Linked DNA regions of Arabidopsis thaliana. The protein of the gene in region 1 interacts with the protein of each later gene in a pairwise test. Each region holds a gene or a part of one and is shown in the gene's direction. Other genes may lie near its edges. The genes, in order: NRT1.7, AT3G10980, AT3G52070 and ERS2.

Region 1 (6,601 bases):
AACTCCATATACATTTTTCGTTATTCGATCATGACCATTAAAATGCATATGTTTGATAGTGACCCGCACCACACAGCTCAGCATATTGAGACAGATTAGTAAAAGCAGTCCAAACCTTAGGCACCCAGTCCACGGTTCATATCATCTGACCATTGAGAATGGTGAAGAGAGATAAGATGATCGAACGGTGTACAATAATATGACCATAAAATCGAACGGTGATACGGTATAGGATCCCACGTAAAGGTCCAAACAAAAAAAAATTAATAAAGAAGAAAAGACAAAGAGGGTTTGCGTAGAAATTTGATGGCTCGCGCATGCGACAGTGTTAGGCACTTGCATTTGCCTAAAAGGCGATAAAAGCCTACCTCATCTTATCGTATTTCTCTTTCTGTTTCTGTCTTCACTCACCGATTTTTATGTTTGTGTTCAATTTGAATTTTACAAGTTTGGTTGGACTTAATCTTTCCTTTAACATAAACATTCAATGATAATTTTATTATTAATGTTCATTTCTTGTGAAGATTTTCATTGTTTCTATATATAATATATATTTTACATTGAGAAAAAAAAATGATGCGAATTGTTTTGAAGTTGAAGTGGTTGATTAATATTTTTTTCTACAATAAATCAATGAAAATTTAGAATTGAAAAATATCTAGACATGGAATTTCTCAACTCAACATCTAGATAAACATATGTACCACACATTCGAGCAATCGTATAAAATTATATACGAATAAATAGAATTAGTTTCTTTCTCGGAAATTCTGTTAATATTTTTAGGAGGATTAAGTGGGTTCGAAATTTAATCACTTCCTGCACAAATTCATCTCAATGTATTAATTGGTGATATGTCATTTTTTTATTTTATTTTTTGGTATGAGCTTCCAAAGTTTTAAGGCCAGCTCTATATGTGTACTATTGTTTCTAACTTTATTATATTAAATTTTGGTGATATGTGTTTCTTTGTTTGATTGCAACCCAAAATAGTTTAAGGTTCATCTTAGAGTGCGATGACTTTTTGTGCAAAAATATTAGATCATGTTGGTATGTACGTTTTGAGTTTTATTTATTTGTTTACCAATTGAACGACTCTCAACAAGCAATTGTATGCCAAGATGACATATTGGACGTTTCAAGTGTGTGAATTGTATAAAGCAGTAAATAAAATCTACTCTTATTAACTAGTTTGAAAGAGAGTTTTAACTTCGAAGAATCTATCGCCATGAGTCAAAATCGTATAAATGTGACAAATGTTTATCTCTATCAATAATAGTAAAAATTTTAAAAGGTTCTATATAAATTTTAAGATTTTGTCAGGATCATTAAAGTGTAGAACTAAGTCAACTGATTGATTAATAGAAAAAATCGATACAATCTCACTTCCTTTAAGAAAATAAAAATAAAATATGCTTTAGAGAAAATAAAATCTCGCTTATTTATGAGATATCATATCATTTTTAGGTAAAAAAGATTAGATGTCCTTTTGAGACACATCATACCATATATATGACCGACAACACACATAAAACCGCGTGAACAAAAAATATCATCCATCAACCCCTTACGATGCAAATGTACTGTAAAAGATGGTTCATTAATTTAACATCGTATTTTAACGTTACAATTGTATGGAACATGGAAGGTTCACAATACGTGGAACAAAACAATAATGTTACGTACGGTGTAAGAAAAACAAAAAAAACATAGCACTAAAATAGTTTTCTTTTAATTTTCCTCTTCAAACTTCTCACGTGGAGGCTACTAGTGGCGAACGTCATTCAAATTTACCCACACCCACCATATATTATCTACTCACTCCCTTATATATACACACTTCCACAAATAATTCACTACACCCAAAAAAGCTTCTAACAAAGAGAAAGTGTCTGTATGTTGTGCCCACTCTCTACATTTATCAATCACTTCATGTGTGTTACCTTGATTGCAAAAAAGTGAGAATATATTCTCACAACATTAAATCCACCCCGAAATCGAAGTGAGTATATCACGAGTGTAGTAATATCTTAGAGATGGTTTTGGAGGATAGAAAGGACGGTTCTTCTTTGCCGGGACGATCCGGTAGTTTCTCTAAATCGTCACCGTCGGAGTTGGATGTTGTTGATCCCTACAAGCGGATAAGTTCGCCGGGATCTATATTGGATGCTGAGAAGGTAGAGAAAAAGCCTGGAGGATGGAGAGCCGTCTCGTTCATTTTAGGTATTTTAATTTTATTTTTAGGCTTCGTGTACATAATTTAGTTTACCTAATCCTTGACCTTTCCTCAGTTATTGGCTAATATTTTTTTGTTAATTTCCTTAATTGGATATATAGTTCTAGAAACCAGTTAATATATTATCATTGGGAGATGTAACGGGCCGTTGCAAGATCACGTTCTGCCTAAATCATTGCACATAATAGTCAGAACAAAAGAAATGAGCGCATAATCTTTTCAGCTCGATCAAAAATTATATTATATATTACTCTCGTAACCGTCGGTCCAACATGTTTGACACTCGTCTAGCTGACGACTTTATAACTGAAATGGAATAAAAATTTGTCATCATAAGTGCTCTTTTAGCCAAAATGTTAACTTTCATTTTAAATTATTTTATACTTTTAAATTTTTATAATATTTTATTTCTCTCTATTTAATGGAATATGATTAATTTTGTTAGTGATGATAATTACTAGATAAAATGGAGTATAATTGATATTCTTCAATAGAGGGATTATTTGTCGATTTATTTGCTGATAATATTTTGTAATAAAATGGGTTGAATAGGAAATGAGACGCTGGAGAGACTGGGATCGATAGGATTGTTGGCAAACTTCATGGTTTATCTAACCAAAGTGTTTCACTTAGAACAAGTCGACGCTGCAAATGTCATCAACATTTGGTCAGGTTTCACCAATCTCACTCCTCTCGTCGGAGCGTATATCTCAGACACTTATGTTGGCCGCTTCAAGACCATCGCTTTCGCCTCATTCGCCACTCTCCTCGTACGTATAATATTTTTTTATTTAACTTATTGAAAATTTTATATAATCTTTTTAAAAAACTAAAATAAAAATAAATAATCTAATGTGTCTACAAATACACAACATTTACGTACGTAGTAGTATTTACTTTATATGTTCCTAACACCTCAAATCCGCAACTATTCGCGGCCTACTGCCAGCATGGGTCAGTGCTTTAGCGTCCACTGTTCGAATAGTTGCATCCAACAAAAAACATAACAACTCTAAATAGAAAGTTCTATATTACTACTCAATTTACGTGTTTTTTTGTGTGTGTGGCGACGATACATGATACTTGGCACATAATTTCACCCCGCACGTGGACATGATAAGAAAATACGTATAGACAAATTAAATTAAGTATATATATATGTAAATGACAAAGTATTAACACTTTATATATTATTTTATACCTATTATGTTACTCTCTTTTTTTCTATATCAAAAGCTATTAAATTACTTTTGTATCGTACGAAAACGCATGAACTTATTGAGGGACCACGCTATCGAGGACGATAAGGTCGGTCAATAATGTGAATCATAAGAACAAAAGCATTAGTTAGTACACTTATTCTTGTCGGTATTTACCTTGAAAATTTATATAACATCCAAAAAAAATGGTAAGAAAATACTTATCTCACGTAAACATCTTTTGTTCATTGATGAAACATTTTCCAATAAAGGAGTTACGTATTAGAACGTGTTCTGTTTAAGAGATAAAGAGATGTGCGTAGAAAAGGAAGAGATACGCAAGTGGTCAATATAGATTATTGACAATGAGATTGTCCAATAATTGAGTGTTTGAGTTTCTTGATGATTTAGCTAGCTAGTTGGGTTTTAGATTTGGTCAGTATCACAGTGACGTTACGTATATAATAATAGTTACTTTTCTAGTGTCTGTTTCATTCACAATTATAGAATTATGATCGCATCCAACTTGTTAATTTCTCTTGCACTTTTTTGTCTTTTTCGTAATTAGTTAAACGTTGAACTTAAACTGTTACAAATGCTCATATTACTATATTAGGGTTACAACAGAAATAAATGATATTAGGTTCTACGTCACTGTCACTTTCACCTAATCAAGGTAACATCACTTTTCAATCATATGAAGTCAAACCTAATTAAGACTATTGTAAACTTTATTAATTGTTTGTATTTGTTCGCATAACTTCAATCTATATATCCCACACTACTGTTTGCTTTCTTCAATATTAATTAACAATCATTCAGTTTCAAGTTATATATTATAGAATATCTAATAATGAAGAATCGGTTTCAAAATTAATAATGACTGATTATAATTACATTGACAACATGCAGGGACTAATAACAATTACACTCACAGCATCGTTTCCTCAACTCCACCCAGCATCATGCAACAGCCAGGACCCACTCAGTTGCGGCGGTCCGAATAAGCTCCAGATCGGAGTTTTGCTATTGGGACTCTGTTTCCTCTCCGTAGGGAGTGGAGGAATACGACCTTGTAGCATCCCTTTTGGGGTTGATCAGTTTGACCAACGAACTGAGGAAGGGGTTAAAGGAGTGGCCAGTTTCTTCAACTGGTATTACATGACTTTCACTGTGGTTCTGATCATTACACAGACCGTAGTTGTGTATATCCAGGATCAAGTCAGTTGGATTATCGGTTTTAGTATCCCTACCGGACTCATGGCTCTTGCGGTTGTTATGTTTTTTGCCGGAATGAAGCGTTATGTCTACGTTAAACCAGAAGGAAGTATATTCTCTGGGATCGCTCAAGTTATCGTGGCAGCTCGTAAGAAGCGAAAGCTGAAACTTCCGGCGGAAGATGACGGCACTGTCACCTATTACGACCCAGCCATCAAGTCTAGCGTGTTATCCAAGTTACACCGCAGTAACCAATTCAGGTACTTAATATATGATTTTTGTTTTTATTTTTTGCTTATCACTTTCAAGGTGGTTTTAAGACAACACTGATTACATGATTTTGTATTAACCTATAGTCTAACTGAAATGGCATAAAATTAGGTGTCTTGACAAAGCCGCGGTGGTTATAGAAGGTGACCTAACACCCGAGGGACCTCCCGCAGACAAGTGGCGGTTATGCAGCGTCCAAGAAGTGGAAGAAGTGAAGTGTTTGATCCGAATTGTTCCTATCTGGTCGGCCGGAATAATCTCACTCGCGGCCATGACAACACAAGGCACTTTCACGGTCTCTCAAGCTTTGAAAATGGATCGAAACTTAGGTCCTAAATTCGAGATTCCGGCTGGTTCACTCTCCGTCATCTCTCTCCTCACAATCGGCATCTTTCTTCCCTTCTACGACCGCGTTTTTGTACCATTCATGCGGCGAATCACCGGCCATAAATCCGGAATCACACTCCTCCAAAGGATAGGAACAGGGATCGTTTTCGCGATCTTTTCTATGATCGTTGCGGGCATTGTGGAGCGTATGAGACGCATACGCTCCATCAATGCCGGAGATCCAACGGGAATGACTCCAATGTCGGTGTTTTGGCTTTCGCCGCAGCTAATTCTCATGGGACTATGTGAAGCATTCAATATCATCGGACAAATTGAGTTCTTCAACAGTCAGTTTCCAGAGCACATGAGAAGTATCGCTAACTCTCTCTTCTCTTTATCGTTCGCCGGTTCGAGCTACCTTAGTAGTTTCCTTGTGACTGTCGTTCATAAATTCTCCGGTGGGCATGATCGTCCGGATTGGCTAAACAAGAATCTCAACGCGGGAAAATTGGATTACTTCTATTATCTGATTGCGGTTTTGGGTGTGGTTAATCTGGTTTACTTTTGGTATTGTGCTCGGGGATACCGGTACAAGGTCGGTTTACCGATTGAAGACTTTGAGGAGGACAAGTCCTCCGATGATGTTGAGATGACTTCGAAGAAATCGATGAAATGATTTAATAGACTATCCTTAGGGACAACAAGAAGATTGTCGATGTTGTTTGAATAATTACTATGACAATGTATGTATCATAATATGTAAGAACTAGAATATTTAATAAAATTTTACCTTTCATTATGTAGAAGTGTTAGATATAGTTCACAGTTTTGTCTTATTTTATAACTTTGTCATCATACTCTCTGCCTGGAATCAGAAAACCATCTCTAACAAGTATATTTAAAATCATAAAAGTAATCTAGTTAGATGGATTGCATTTGGAACTATATCATATACACTATGTTATGACTTGATAGAAATATAAACAGTATAGTTTTAATTGATCATTTCTATGGAGGATCACGTTATTAGGCATAGTTTCATCCTTTATCGATTACGGACGGTAAATGAGTACAACCCAACTAATATGTTGTAAAGAAAAGCTACTACTGCTATTACTGTTAATATTAATATTAGACTTCTTGGGTACATAAAAAAAAAAAAAATATATATATATATATATATCATATTAGACTTCTAGAACACCAAGTCCAAAACATATTTGGCATGAAGCAAAAATATCTACTGCTTTATTTTGTGTCTACCTCTTTGCCACATGCTGTATATTCCATCATTCATTTAACCTACAATTGAATTCCGTTTTAACGTTTATTCACTCAATTAATATATTGG
Region 2 (5,208 bases), on another chromosome or scaffold:
TTGAAATTTCAATGCTTTTCCTCAAGTTAAATTTCATCAATATAGAAACATATAAATTTACTATTGTTATAGATTTTGAGATACAAATATTTAAACCAATTAGATAAAAAATCCATATAAGATTTTATCATGAATTTCTTGAAAGATCTCCAATTATTAAATGTATATTCCTAGAAAAAACTATATACAGAATAATGACTAATTTGCCACAAAATACAATTATTCTTACATATATAAATTGCATCAAAAGGGTGATAAGTTATCAATTTCAACACTGATTTACTCTTGAAATATCTCTTTCTCAATAGAACTTCCAAAGGAAATGAAGTAAGTCTCTAACATTCTCACTTTCTTTTGCCTCATAGCTCTCCTATCCCGTAAGCATTTCTTATATCTCTGAGATTTTGTTCATTTCTGTAATCTAAAACTCAATCAATAAGACTTATTACTATTTAAAACAATATTAGCATACATGACTTAAGTTAGTTTTAACGGTGTAGATATAACATTCTCAAGTGTTAGCGTGGTGGAAGGTAGAAACACGTTGGAGCATGAAGCCATGTCGCATGTGATTAACCAAAAGACTTCTCCATATGTTGTGCATCCGCAAAAGGTTCCATGCGCTGATTGCACTTGGCCATGTGATCCTGTTGTAGTTGGTGAAGGTTGTATATGTCGTTGCTAAAATTTCCGTTTCTATCATAATTTCGCCATATATAATGTGTTGGACCTTCGATAAAAATTAAATAACAATAAAATTATATTTATTATTGATTGCTCGGAGAAAGAGATATAATGATACCATGAATCTCTTTCTCATAACTACATGGTATAGGAAGTTGAAGAAAACAATATGTTGATTTGCATTTCTCCATAAAAGACTTCTCCACATGTTATGCATCCGCAAAAGCACCCATGCGCTGATTTGCACTTGCCCATGTGATCTTGTTGTATCTGGAGAATGTCATATATGTCGATGCTAAAGTTTTTTTTATTTTATCGAATATCCGCCAAAATGTATTTGGCCTTCCACAAAATAATAATTATTATTGATTATAAACTCTGAGAAGGAGACCATAATTTCTTTCTCATGACAACATTGTCATTGTTAATCATCCAAATCGATTTCACTCTATGTGTTGTACACGCATCACATGAACAATACAACATACTATGTCTCAGTGATATCGCACAGCTGAATAGCTGATCTACTTTCAAGTTAACATACAACACAAAAAAAAAAAAAAAACTATGATAGATAAGAAGAATATGGTTGGTAGTAAGAAAATGTATTTTCCCTAGATCAAATTCCAAAACTTGATACAAAAACTCTAAATTAACCACTGGATGGCTTCGATTCTGTCATTAACGTGCGAGAATCTCGGTGTAATCGAGATCATTATAAACTTAATGATATTTTATCATTCTAAGAGCTAGTCTTGGAAGGTGTGAAGACTTTATTAATCAAGTATATATAAATTATCAAAAAACACAACCCAAAAAACAGTAAGAACAATACACATCTGTAACAGCTTGTCAGTAAATTAGTAGTAATAATTAAAATCTGATAAATACTATATGCTAAAACGTTTTGTGTATCTTATTTTTGTGAGTACACTAATACAATAATGCTTTTTTTTTTCCTTTTCATGAATAAAAAAAAACGTATTGGGACAATAATGGCGGCCTGATCAACGCTAAGTTAACTGCAACCACGAGAAAAAAAGAATCCGAGACTAGTTCTTCCCCAACGACCAATCTTATGTTGCATCAATTTCACAACAGAAGCCTTACCTTTTCATTACACGCATATTGCTTCTTCAAAGTTTCCTTTTAGATAAATTCTTAGTCTGAGTAACATCTCTTTCTTGTCTTGGGGGTTTCTCTGTAATTGCAGCTGAATCGGATCTTGGGCAATTTTTAAATTCCGATTCAACGAGTTTCTCAACTAAGGGTTTGATTCCTTTTCTTTTTCATCTTTGTTTATTCAAATCTGAATACTTTGTTAGGTTTCAATGTGCTGAGAAGTAGAAGAAGCTTCGTTGGCAAGTCCGAATCTTTTCTTCTTCTTTTTTCTGGGTTTTATATTCTTTGCCAACAATGTTTAAGCTTGCAAAGCATATATTCCTTTGAGTAGCTGTTTTATTCCTACAAAGATTTGATCTTCAATAGAGAGAGATAATGGGATCTAATTGTGATGGGAATTTGAAAGCAGAGATTGAAGAATCTAATGGTTCTTCTGGCAAAAATACTAAGGTTCCTCCTTGTCCTCTTGATGTTTCTACATCTAGAAGAACTTTGATTGGTGATGGTAAACCTAGGAGATGGTCTATTAGTGCTTTACCTGATGCTTCTAGTAGATTCCAGCTTCTCAAATTTGGTTCTCCTTCTGCTAAGTTCAAGAAAATGGCTGAGGATAGAGACGAGGTTTCACGGTCAGTGACTAGCTCAAGTAACGGAAGCAGTCATAATTTCAGGGAAAGAATCAGTGGCGTGCTTCACCGGAAAATAGATTGGAGTTCTCTGATGAATATGGGGAAAGAATGGATTAGGAATCCTATTAACATGGCTTTATTCGTTTGGATACTTGTTGTTGCAGTCTCTGGTGCTATTCTCTTCATGGTTATGACTGGTATGTTGAATCATGCTTTGCCTAAGAAGTCACAGAGAGATGCTTGGTTTGAAGTTAACAATCAGATTCTTAATGGCTTGTTTACTTTGATGTGTCTTTATCAACATCCCAAACGGTTTTATCACTTAGTGCTTCTTTGTAGATGGAAGCATGATGATATTACTAAGCTTAGGAAAGCTTATTGCAAGGATGGGACTTATAAGCCTAATGAATGGATGCACATTATGGTTGTTGTCATTTTGCTTCACTTGAATTGTTTTGCTCAGTACGCGCTTTGTGGTCTTAATGTTGGATACAGGAGATCAGAGAGACCTCCCATTGGAGTTGCTATATGTATCTCTGCTGCCATTGGAGCTCCTGCGGTTGCGGGTTTGTACACTATACTAAGTCCACTTGGGAAAGATTATAATGATTCTAATGAAGACGAGGAGAATCAACTGAAGCAACGTGAAGAAGGGTCTGTTAATCGTCGGTTTACTTTAGAGAGGAGGTATTCGTTTGCCTCTGCTTCCACGGGGGTTGGGGATGGGATGGTTCCGGTGAGTGATCCTCAGTGGAGTGGTGGAATTTTGGATATTTGGGATGATATTTCATTGGCTTATCTTTCTCTTTTCTGCACTTTCTGTGTCTTTGGATGGAACATGGAGAGAGTTGGGTTTGGGAACATGTATGTTCACATAGCTACGTTTATTCTCTTCTGTTTGGCACCTTTCTTTATATTCAACTTAGCTGCGGTTAATATCGATAATGAGACGGTCAGGGAGGCGTTAGGGATATCTGGAATCCTTCTTTGTGTGTTTGGTTTGCTCTATGGTGGATTCTGGAGAATTCAGATGAGGAAAAGATTCAAATTACCGAGTTATAATTTCTGTTTCGGTAGAGCCGCGATTGCTGATTGTGCGCTCTGGTTATGTTGTTGTTGGTGCTCTTTAGCACAAGAAGTTAGGACTGCAAACTCTTATGAGATAGTGGAAGACAAATTCTGCCAAAGAAAAGAAGAGAAGAATATGGTATCTCCGAATTTGGTATCACCTTTGCCTCGTGAAGACGGTGTGTTTGATCCTCGGTTTGGTCTCGGGAGCTCCCCTAAGAACATAAGTGGAGCTAGTTCTCCTAGCCCGAGCAGGTTTTGGAAAGAGGCACATAGCCCAAATGTACAGACACCTAGAGAGAAAGAAGAGGTTAAAAGCGATGTTGCTCTGACTCCACCTTCTCCTCTGTCTATACACCGAGAAGCTTGATTTGTAAAACCATGGAAATCCGAGTCCACTGGTAACCCTCCTTTCCTTTCTCTTTAGATGTTGTATGAATATGATTTGAGGACAACTTTTGAATACAAGTCTCTTTGAGTGTTTTACAAAAAAAATTATGAAGCTGGTTTCTTCATGTGAGTTGTATACAATTTCAGTTTCTGGTTTAGAGAACTTTCACGGCTTCTTCTGTAATGTAAATTTGTCTGTCATGCTTCAGTGAGACTTTGAGTGATCTATGTACCTTTGCAGGCTTTGCTTTTTTACTTCTAATTCATGATTCGAACCAGATGGTTGGAGAAGTTGTTGGCTTTTGAGGTTAAGTAGTAAGAACCATAGGAGATTTTGAGTCAGTCATATTCACAATTCTTTATTTTGCTTGGTTTTCTGGTCCGGTTTGGGGTTCAAATTCTCAAGTCTCAGTGGATTACATAAGGGATCACAGTGTATCTATAAACCCACGTATCGCTAATGGTGATCTACACCTGATTTAGATAGAGGAGACTCCACAATGTTAACAAATAATATAAAACTATAGTGCTATTAGTGAAAATGATACCACAAGTTGTCATTAGCAGAGAAAGATCAGTATCAATATCCAATATAGGAATGAAGCGTCACTGTCTTAAAGAGTCATTATCGTGGAGAACCACATCACTAATCCACTTATGTGTAGTTAGTTGTTTGTAATCAACTTTTTGTATTTTCTTGTGTAATCCAACTTTTGATGTATTAGTTTAAGCTGTATTACTTTTAAAAGCTTGCCTTTATTTTCCTTGTGAAATTCTGCATAAATATCAAAAGAGATTTATGACAAAACAATGTTGCTTTTTCATCATTAACGGTTGTGGTATTTTAGCCAATCAAATTCTTTAGTTTCTAATTTTAAAGTTGTGTTTAAAAACAAAAATGTACCACTATCGTCGACATAAGAAAAAAGTATCTAAGCTTAAAACGCTAACATTCATACCAATTTAAATTTATATCATTCCAAAGTTCTTCAAAATCCCTTAGTCTCTCTATTTCAATATGTACGTATAAAAATGTATTATAAGACATCGAAACGTGTCATGTGTACACTGAAGTCGCAGGACTAGAAGGAGCTAATAGGTGGCCATGGTGCTCTACGTGGACTCTCTGTGTGACACGTGTCAAAGTGATTATGCATCTTTCAAACTTCTGTGATAGGTTGGTTGGCCCGACCAAGACGACCAACATACTCGTTGAACACGTTTCGTTGCATATTTCTGTATTCATCTGTATTAATACTAATAAGAAACCATTTCTGTTTGACTGTATTAATGAATAATGATTCCTGAAGATTTT
Region 3 (3,035 bases), on another chromosome or scaffold:
CATTCTTTTTTACATCCATTTTCCCATATCTCTACCTTCCCTAGAGACACACAAAAGCTTAAAAAACACAGCAATTTTCACACACACACACAGAAGTTCATCTTTATTTAGCCACTCTTCTTCGAGCGCCAACACAAGCTTCTTCCTAAACCTTCCTTATGATGATATCTGAAACCTGAACACAATAACAAGAAGATAAGCAAATTGAAACTAAACTCTCAAACTGTATTCATATTTACACATTGAGATTTCAGTGTTATACCTAATTTACTTTCACCGAATTCAATCCCTAAAGATCACAGCATCTGCAATCTCCATAAGCGGTTGCAATGACTCCGGCGTGAATTTTCTGGCGAAGAAATAGTCTAAACTCGAATTAGATCTCCGCAGAGAGTGAATCAGCTGCGGCGAGATCTCAGAGGCATCGTACGTGTGAGGATGACCACCAACACTACCGGTCCAATTAACACGTGTGAGTGTAAAGTGACTACATCCTTGAGGATCCTCAAGAGACAACAAAGTCGGAAAATAATGTTCTTCAGGGTAACAAGATTCAACATCAAGGCATGGTAATTTGAATTTCCTCCATAGCTTTCTCTCTTTGATCACCATTAGAGCATGACGTTTCGCTAATACGAAGAACTGAGATCCAACACGGAAGTCTTGGTACTGGATCTCAGGAAGCATCGCGTCGTCTCCTCTTGCGTTGTATCGTTTCAGAAGGAACGGTTCATCGGAGAGGATCTCGATGAAGCTTTGTTGATGATGATCGGAGAAGAGGTGGTTGTGGATGTAAGAGAAGGAATGGAGAGGGATACAGTGTTGTGAGATTAAAGCGAAATAGAGATTGTTAGGATCGTCGAGGATTGCGTTTGCTAGTAATCGTCGTTCGGCGGAGATTAACGTCGGAGAAGCTCGTGCGGTTCTTCTCGCCGGGATGAACTTAGCGTTGATTGATGAAGAATCGAGAAGAGGAGAGACGGAGGAGGTTGGATCTGCGTGGATGTAAACGTTGTAGAGATCTTGGTGACCTTGGAAGAAGCTTTCCCAGAGAGGTAAGAAGGTTAGATCGGAGTTTGTTAGGAAGAGGAAAGCGATCTTTGGGGGTGGATTTGGAGAGAGGGAGATGAGACGACGGTTGTTGTTGGTGGAGGAAGAGACGACGGCGCGGTGGAAGAGAGAGAGGTCGTCTAGGTCATCGGCGGTGGAAATGAGGGTAGAGGAAGAGAGAAGGATGTGTGGTGAGAGGATGAAGAGGAAGAAGAGAAGAGAAAGAGAGAGGAAGAGAGATAGAGAATAAACGAGTGTAGAAGATGAGAACATCTCTCTGTATACAACAACACAGAATTTCTCTGAGGAAGAAGAAGAAGAAGAAGAAGAAGATTGATTGAAATGAATGAGTTAGAAAAAATTCTGATGTGACAATAAAAAGGAAAAAGGGGAATAATGACGTCAGCAAAATGGGGACACGTGAAATTATTTTTAAAATTATTTGGGACAATCGACACAGTTGCTCTATCGCTATTTGTTTACGTGGGGCTGTTCTCTCTCTATTTATATAATAATGAGATACGGTTTTTTCAGCAACCAGATTTTAAAGTTATCTGATTAAATCTAATAATAGGATAGAGATAGAGTCACAGAGACATGTTGTTGACTTTATGACATTATTTTATTCTTTGCTTATCCACTCAGTCATCATTTATCTCACCAGTCAGACATAATGTGTTGTTGTTGTGAATTTGTAGATGCTTCCGACTATACCTGATTACCTGGCCATTCAGAATCGGTTTGGATCAAAAAATTTGGGTTTTCGGTTTAGAAATCGAAACAAACCGAATTAGTTGAAACGAACCGAATAGAAATTCGGCCAATTTGGTTTTGCATTGGCGTGTACCTTGTGACTACATGTGTGTGTGTTAGATGAGATCTATCCACCCATTTTTCAAATCATTTTTGTCGTTAAGCTATCAAGATTCTGATATTTTCCTGCTCACTTTTGATTCCCAAAACAAAAAACTTTCTTCAATTATTCTATTCATCTTCTCATGGCGGCTCTCTCCACCACCTTCTACTACCACCCACTCTGCACTAACCACCGTACAAAGAGACAAGCCTCAAGCAGACACGGAGTTAGATCTATGAGAGTGATGTCTTGTCGGAAGCAGAAATTACCAGAAGAGAATGAAGGAGTGATCCAGAGAACATTGAGAAGGATGATTTCAGAGGCTGGGAAGATTGGGAAGAATCTGAAGCCAGAGAAGAAGAAAGGAGACGTCAAGGACCTGATGCTTATGAGTCTCTCTTTTGCTGTTTATGTTTATATCTCTCAACTATTGGTTTGTGCTTACTTCTCCTGGCAACATCTCAGCTTCCCCAAATCTTCATGGTAGTAGCTAAGCTAGCTCCTCCTTGTAAATTCTGCACAAATCAGTAATAAGATAAGAAATTCAATTCCGACATAGGAGAATTGAGAGTTGTGATCTTTCACTTTGGTCTTATATAATTGAATTGTTAAGCTTCTCATACCTCTTTATCTGCTTTAACTCCGGCAGAAAAGGCAAACCAACCATTGCGATAACACTATCAACCAGTTAAGGCTCTTTGTTTTAGAGCCGAAAGGAGATGCAAGAGCCTCGGGCAGAGTCGCTGAGTATGCCTTGAAAACCAAAACTTTGACCGTAATTGTTAGAAAGAAAGAGAGATTCCTAACCATTTCGTATTGGCCTCCTCCAATTTATCCTCCTTAAACAGAGAGCCCCATCCATTTTCCTTCTGTGTGCTGCACCAAACCTTTCCTCCATAGTCATATCACTGCGAGCTTTTCCCTGTACAATCCAACCTCTAAGTCAGCTATAAGCAAAGAGCTTGGGATAAAAGCTTGGTTGTGGAGTGTTCAGGTAAGGAAACAAGAATCAGCAAATGATCTTAAAGAAAAAACGTTCCTCCTTTGTTTCATCAAATCCAACAACTTCAGCGTCATCTAACAATTCCGCTATAGATGGAACATTGGGAAAAAGAAGAGTTTCCATCTC
Region 4 (5,254 bases), about 25 Mb from region 1:
CGCTCTTGCTGTATAAATGAAACGTCTATCAAACATTAGCTAGTCTTGTACTGGATTGCCTTTACAGACAAAAGATTATACTGTATATGTATGTGGTCTCATGCAAAAAAAGTAAAAATGATTCTGTGTACATCTGTTTTGATTTGCATATATATTGGCTTAAGTGGCAAAGGTGCATGCACTATTTCTATTTCTTTGATAAAAGTTTTATGATGCATGCATTCTTACCAGTGATTTCTTTAAAAGGAGAAGACATTTGTTTTGTAATAGTGACGAGAATGTAGACAGAAAAGGAAAGGAATCAGCACGTGTTCATCGCTCGACACGTGGCCAATAATAGCATTGGATTCAGAAAAAAAGAAAAAGAAAAAAGCGAAAAAACCTGTATAACAGGAAAAAAATACAATCTGCACCAGCCGGGAATCGAACCCGGGTCTGTACCGTGGCAGGGTACTATTCTACCACTAGACCACTGGTTATTTATTTAAAAGATTTATATTGGTATAAAACCTTGACCATAAAATGTTCCTAGTGCATCCACTAAGATCAAATTCATATTAATAAACAAAAACATAAAATTCAAACCGATATAGCAAGATTGCTGTTAGTTTTGTCTTCTAAATCTGATAAGTGTTCGTTATTGTCGAGGTTATGTAGCTAGTTTATATATTACTTGTACTAAATTTCAATAGGGCAATCAAAATATACGGATTTTCATGTGTATATATTTTTCTAAATTTGCGGTTTACAAAGAAAAGTTAGTGGTTGATCATATTGATTTCTTGAAAGGGAAATATTACCAATAAAATGATAAAATTGCCAAGAAAAATTAGTAGTACGATCGATAATTTAGTGATATTGGGATCCAAAGAGATGATCATGCACTTAGTTAAGACTCCATTTTCTGATAAGAGTTAAGTGGCGGTAGACCCACAAAGAAATTTGATTCGGTATTGTTATTATTGAGTAGAAAAACAAAGATGGAGTGTTTAACTAAATCATGTCTAATAAGTAGCAAGGTAGGTCAATATAACGTTTTACAAACGAAAAATAGCATTGCATATTTAATTATCTACCAAATATCTTAAGTCAGTCGAATAAACTAACTCATTATGTTATCAAATCAGCCGCAAATTGTGCCGTTTAAGTCAATACTATTTTTAACTTAGATATTTAGTGAGTAGACTTCATACTTGCATAGTCTAGTAGTTATCATTGTTTAATGCAATTTTTTGGTTTTAATGTAAACTTATACTACTATTTGGTCATGTAATCTCACTTTCTAAAAAACCAATGTAATCATCCATAATAGAAATAAAACATTTATTTAATATAATTAACTAATTTTTAAACATTAAAAAGAATAGATTTATTTTTATACATAAAATAATAGAAATATAAATATATATATATATTATTATAGGTTGTTTATTGTAATCCAAAAGCAGAATAAAATTTGGGATAGGTATTAAGAGTCATAAATCTTGAAAATAGAGTCATTAATTAATAAAGCTGAAAAGGAAAGATTAAAAAAAGAAGAAGAATCCTCTAAAATTGAATTTGGTAAGAGTCCACGTAGGTCAAGAAGAAGAAGAAGAAGATGTCGTGCTCGTGTTGTGTTCCAAACGAAAAGCGTCTATGTTCTCTTCATGTACCGTTTCTGGGTCCCACCCCCCTTTCCTTCTTCACTCTCCCCCCAATTCCTCCCTCTCTCTCTCTCTCTCTCTCTCTCTCTCACCAAAACGTAAATCTACTCTCTCTATCGCAGCAGACACAGAAAAAGAGAGAGCGAGAGACTCTGCTCACACACATATTTACTTCCCTAACTTGTCTCTCTCTCTACACATTCTGGTGAGTTTCGTAAGATTCAACAATCGTTTAGACTTCTTCTTCTTCTTCTTCTACAGCTTTTACGTTTTCTGGAAAAGAGATTTTTGGCTGATCACTACGTTGCAGGTATATGATTTCTCAAATGTGAGATGGGTTTGATGTTCCTTTTCGCTATTTCTCATCTGATTTTGAATTTTCTGCGGATTTTGTGAGGAATCGGTAGATTTTGATGTTTGTTCTTGTGGGTGGTTCATAACTTCATACATTTAGGGGATTAAAAGAAAATTAATTTACAAATTCGGTCCTTGTTGTGAAAAAGATTTATAATCTAAAAGACATTAACTTTACTCTCTCCTTGAACAAGTTTTGAATTTTGAATCTTTTTCTGATTTTGATTTTCACTATGTTCATAGGTAATTGCACAATTCTGGGTATACAAAATCCAAACGTTACGCATATTGAATTGAAAAATCTCGATTTTGAGTTCTGGGTATGAATAAAAATCTCACCTTTTTAATTAATTCTTACTCAGGGAAACAGTAATCGATGTTAAAGACATTGTTAGTCCAATGGCTTGTCTTCTTCTTCTTCTTCTTAATCGGTTCCGTCGTCACCGCCGCAGAAGACGACGGTAGCTTGTCGTTATGCAACTGCGACGACGAAGACAGTCTCTTTAGCTACGAGACAATCCTCAACTCGCAAAAAGTCGGCGACTTTCTTATCGCAATCGCTTATTTCTCGATCCCAATCGAGCTGGTTTACTTCGTGAGCCGCACCAATGTGCCTTCACCTTACAATTGGGTGGTCTGCGAGTTTATAGCCTTCATTGTTCTCTGCGGCATGACCCATTTGCTCGCTGGTTTCACCTACGGGCCTCACTGGCCTTGGGTCATGACAGCTGTCACTGTCTTCAAGATGCTGACTGGTATCGTCTCTTTCCTCACGGCACTCTCGTTAGTCACTCTCTTACCATTGCTTCTTAAGGCTAAGGTTCGTGAGTTTATGTTGAGTAAGAAGACCAGAGAGCTTGATCGTGAGGTTGGGATCATTATGAAGCAGACTGAGACGAGTTTGCATGTTCGTATGCTCACTACCAAGATTAGGACGTCTCTTGATCGACACACCATTCTATACACTACGCTTGTGGAGTTGTCCAAGACTCTGGGGCTCAAGAACTGTGCGGTTTGGATCCCGAATGAGATCAAGACGGAGATGAATCTTACTCATGAGTTAAGACCGAGGATTGATGATGAGAATGAGAATGAGCATTTTGGTGGTTATGCTGGGTTCTCGATACCGATTAGTGAGTCTGATGTTGTGAGGATTAAGAGAAGCGAAGAGGTGAATATGTTGAGCCCTGGTTCTGTGCTTGCCTCAGTGACTAGCCGAGGGAAGTCAGGTCCTACGGTTGGGATAAGAGTCCCTATGCTTCGGGTTTGTAACTTTAAAGGCGGGACACCAGAGGCGATTCACATGTGTTATGCGATATTGGTGTGTGTGCTTCCATTGAGACAGCCGCAGGCTTGGACTTATCAAGAGCTTGAGATTGTTAAGGTGGTGGCTGATCAAGTGGCGGTTGCAATCTCTCACGCCGTGATTCTTGAAGAATCTCAGCTTATGAGAGAGAAACTCGCTGAACAGAACCGAGCGCTTCAGGTTGCGAGGGAGAACGCACTGAGAGCTAATCAAGCCAAGGCTGCGTTCGAGCAGATGATGAGCGATGCAATGAGGTGTCCTGTGCGGTCCATTCTCGGGTTGCTTCCTTTGATACTTCAGGATGGGAAGTTACCCGAGAACCAGACTGTTATCGTTGATGCAATGAGGAGAACCAGCGAGTTACTTGTACAGCTTGTAAACAATGCCGGAGATATAAACAATGGGACAATCCGCGCTGCAGAGACTCATTATTTCAGTTTGCATTCGGTTGTGAAAGAGTCAGCTTGCGTGGCGAGGTGTTTATGCATGGCAAATGGTTTTGGTTTCTCAGCTGAAGTTTATAGAGCATTGCCTGACTACGTCGTAGGTGATGATAGAAAGGTCTTTCAAGCGATTTTGCATATGCTTGGGGTTCTAATGAATCGAAAGATCAAAGGGAATGTGACTTTCTGGGTTTTTCCGGAAAGCGGGAACTCAGACGTATCAGAGAGGAAAGATATTCAAGAAGCGGTTTGGCGACATTGCTATTCGAAAGAATACATGGAAGTTAGATTCGGATTCGAGGTAACTGCTGAAGGTGAAGAGAGTAGTAGTAGTAGTAGTGGTAGTAACCTGGAGGAGGAGGAAGAGAATCCGAGTCTCAACGCTTGCCAAAACATTGTAAAGGTTGGTCATTTGTGTTTTGTATGTAAATGTGCTAATGACTTGGTTTAACACTTTTATCTTGTTTTGTGACAGTATATGCAAGGGAATATTCGGGTTGTTGAGGACGGTCTAGGTTTGGTGAAAAGCGTCTCAGTTGTTTTCCGGTTTCAACTCCGGCGATCGATGATGTCGAGAGGCGGTGGATATTCTGGAGAAACGTTTAGAACCTCAACTCCTCCGTCTACTAGCCACTGATCATTGACGTCAGGAAGGGGGGGAGGGGAATGTAGTGCAAAAGAAAGATTTAAGGGGTGGAATCTGAGAATTTGTAAAAACAGTAGGGGCTTTAATGAGATTAACAGAGAGAGTACTAAAACGTTGTCGTTCGGTTGTAAAAACCTGAAAGTTAACTAGGTTTTAACCTATCGTGTAGGCAAAAGGTATGATGCAGACTTGTTGTAACTTGCTGGTGATAACAGAATTCAAAGTAAAAAAATGTGTCGGAGGATGTTCCTTACGGATTTGTGATTTACAAGCCTACCAACTCCTTTGTCAAATATTGTGACGTTTTAGATGAAGCTTATAAATTTATTGATTTCTGATCCAGAAACCGTATACAACTTGTATCCACAATATGTATCCAGGTACATATTAACTTCGACCTTTTAATTAACTTTTGTTTTTAAAAGGTTTATGTGATTTTTTTTTTTTAACATTGAGGTGATTCGTGCGACCTCTCTTTCTCTCTATTTATCTCTCTTTCTTTTCCTCCGTCGTCTTTTTTGGTTTGTTCTCTCTCTGTAGAATCTCATAGGAGCTGCCATTAGCCCATTCAACGAATTAGCTTCTCTTTGCTCTTTCTTCCACCATCTCAGGTTCGCTTCGATCTACAACCAATAAGCTTCTTCTATATCTCCTCCTTTGTTCTTCGGATTTTGCGAGGCTTTATGTTCCGATTACAGTCTTTCATTTTGATACCACACCGATTTTGATTTTCCCCGATCGTTGATTTCATCTGGGCTTTGTTTTGTTTTCCGATGTCTTTGATGAAATTATGAGGTTTCTCTGGATATTTTAGCTGATTGAAATGATATATTGCTTCGCCGCCCTCTAATTTTTCGGC

What was found.
Region 2: the proteins of NRT1.7 (region 1) and AT3G10980 interact in a protein complementation assay, tested with the Arabidopsis thaliana proteins (one large-scale study listed by BioGRID).
Region 3: the proteins of NRT1.7 (region 1) and AT3G52070 interact in a protein complementation assay, tested with the Arabidopsis thaliana proteins (one large-scale study listed by BioGRID).
Region 4: the proteins of NRT1.7 (region 1) and ERS2 interact in a protein complementation assay, tested with the Arabidopsis thaliana proteins (one large-scale study listed by BioGRID).

Annotation. Positions count from the first base shown.
Region 1 is NC_003070.9:26,314,172-26,320,772, forward strand, and holds NRT1.7 (nitrate transporter 1.7), read left to right. Parts: upstream 1-1,615; 5' UTR 1,616-2,036; coding exon 2,037-2,223; intron 2,224-2,788; coding exon 2,789-3,006; intron 3,007-4,347; coding exon 4,348-4,913; intron 4,914-5,034; coding exon 5,035-5,926; 3' UTR 5,927-6,062; downstream 6,063-6,601. UniProt on the Arabidopsis thaliana protein: Low-affinity proton-dependent nitrate transporter. Not involved in dipeptides transport, but has a weak glucosinolate transport activity. Involved in phloem loading and nitrate remobilization from the older leaves to other tissues.
Region 2 is NC_003074.8:3,436,629-3,441,836, forward strand, and holds AT3G10980 (PLAC8 family protein), read left to right. Parts: upstream 1-1,583; 5' UTR 1,584-2,181; coding exon 2,182-3,873; 3' UTR 3,874-4,671; downstream 4,672-5,208. Other genes in the region: AT3G10974 (uncharacterized protein), read left to right, coding at 560-685.
Region 3 is NC_003074.8:19,310,705-19,313,739, forward strand, and holds AT3G52070 (RNA/RNP complex-1-interacting phosphatase), read left to right. Parts: upstream 1-2,013; 5' UTR 2,014-2,048; coding exon 2,049-2,393; 3' UTR 2,394-2,520; downstream 2,521-3,035. Other genes in the region: AT3G52060 (core-2/I-branching beta-1,6-N-acetylglucosaminyltransferase family protein), read right to left, coding at 283-1,323; AT3G52075 (uncharacterized protein), read right to left, coding at 2,543-2,716.
Region 4 is NC_003070.9:1,154,248-1,159,501, reverse strand, and holds ERS2 (ethylene response sensor 2), read left to right. Parts: upstream 1-1,688; 5' UTR 1,689-1,956; intron 1,957-2,362; 5' UTR 2,363-2,376; coding exon 2,377-4,152; intron 4,153-4,224; coding exon 4,225-4,386; 3' UTR 4,387-4,738; downstream 4,739-5,254. UniProt on the Arabidopsis thaliana protein: Ethylene receptor related to bacterial two-component regulators. Acts as a redundant negative regulator of ethylene signaling.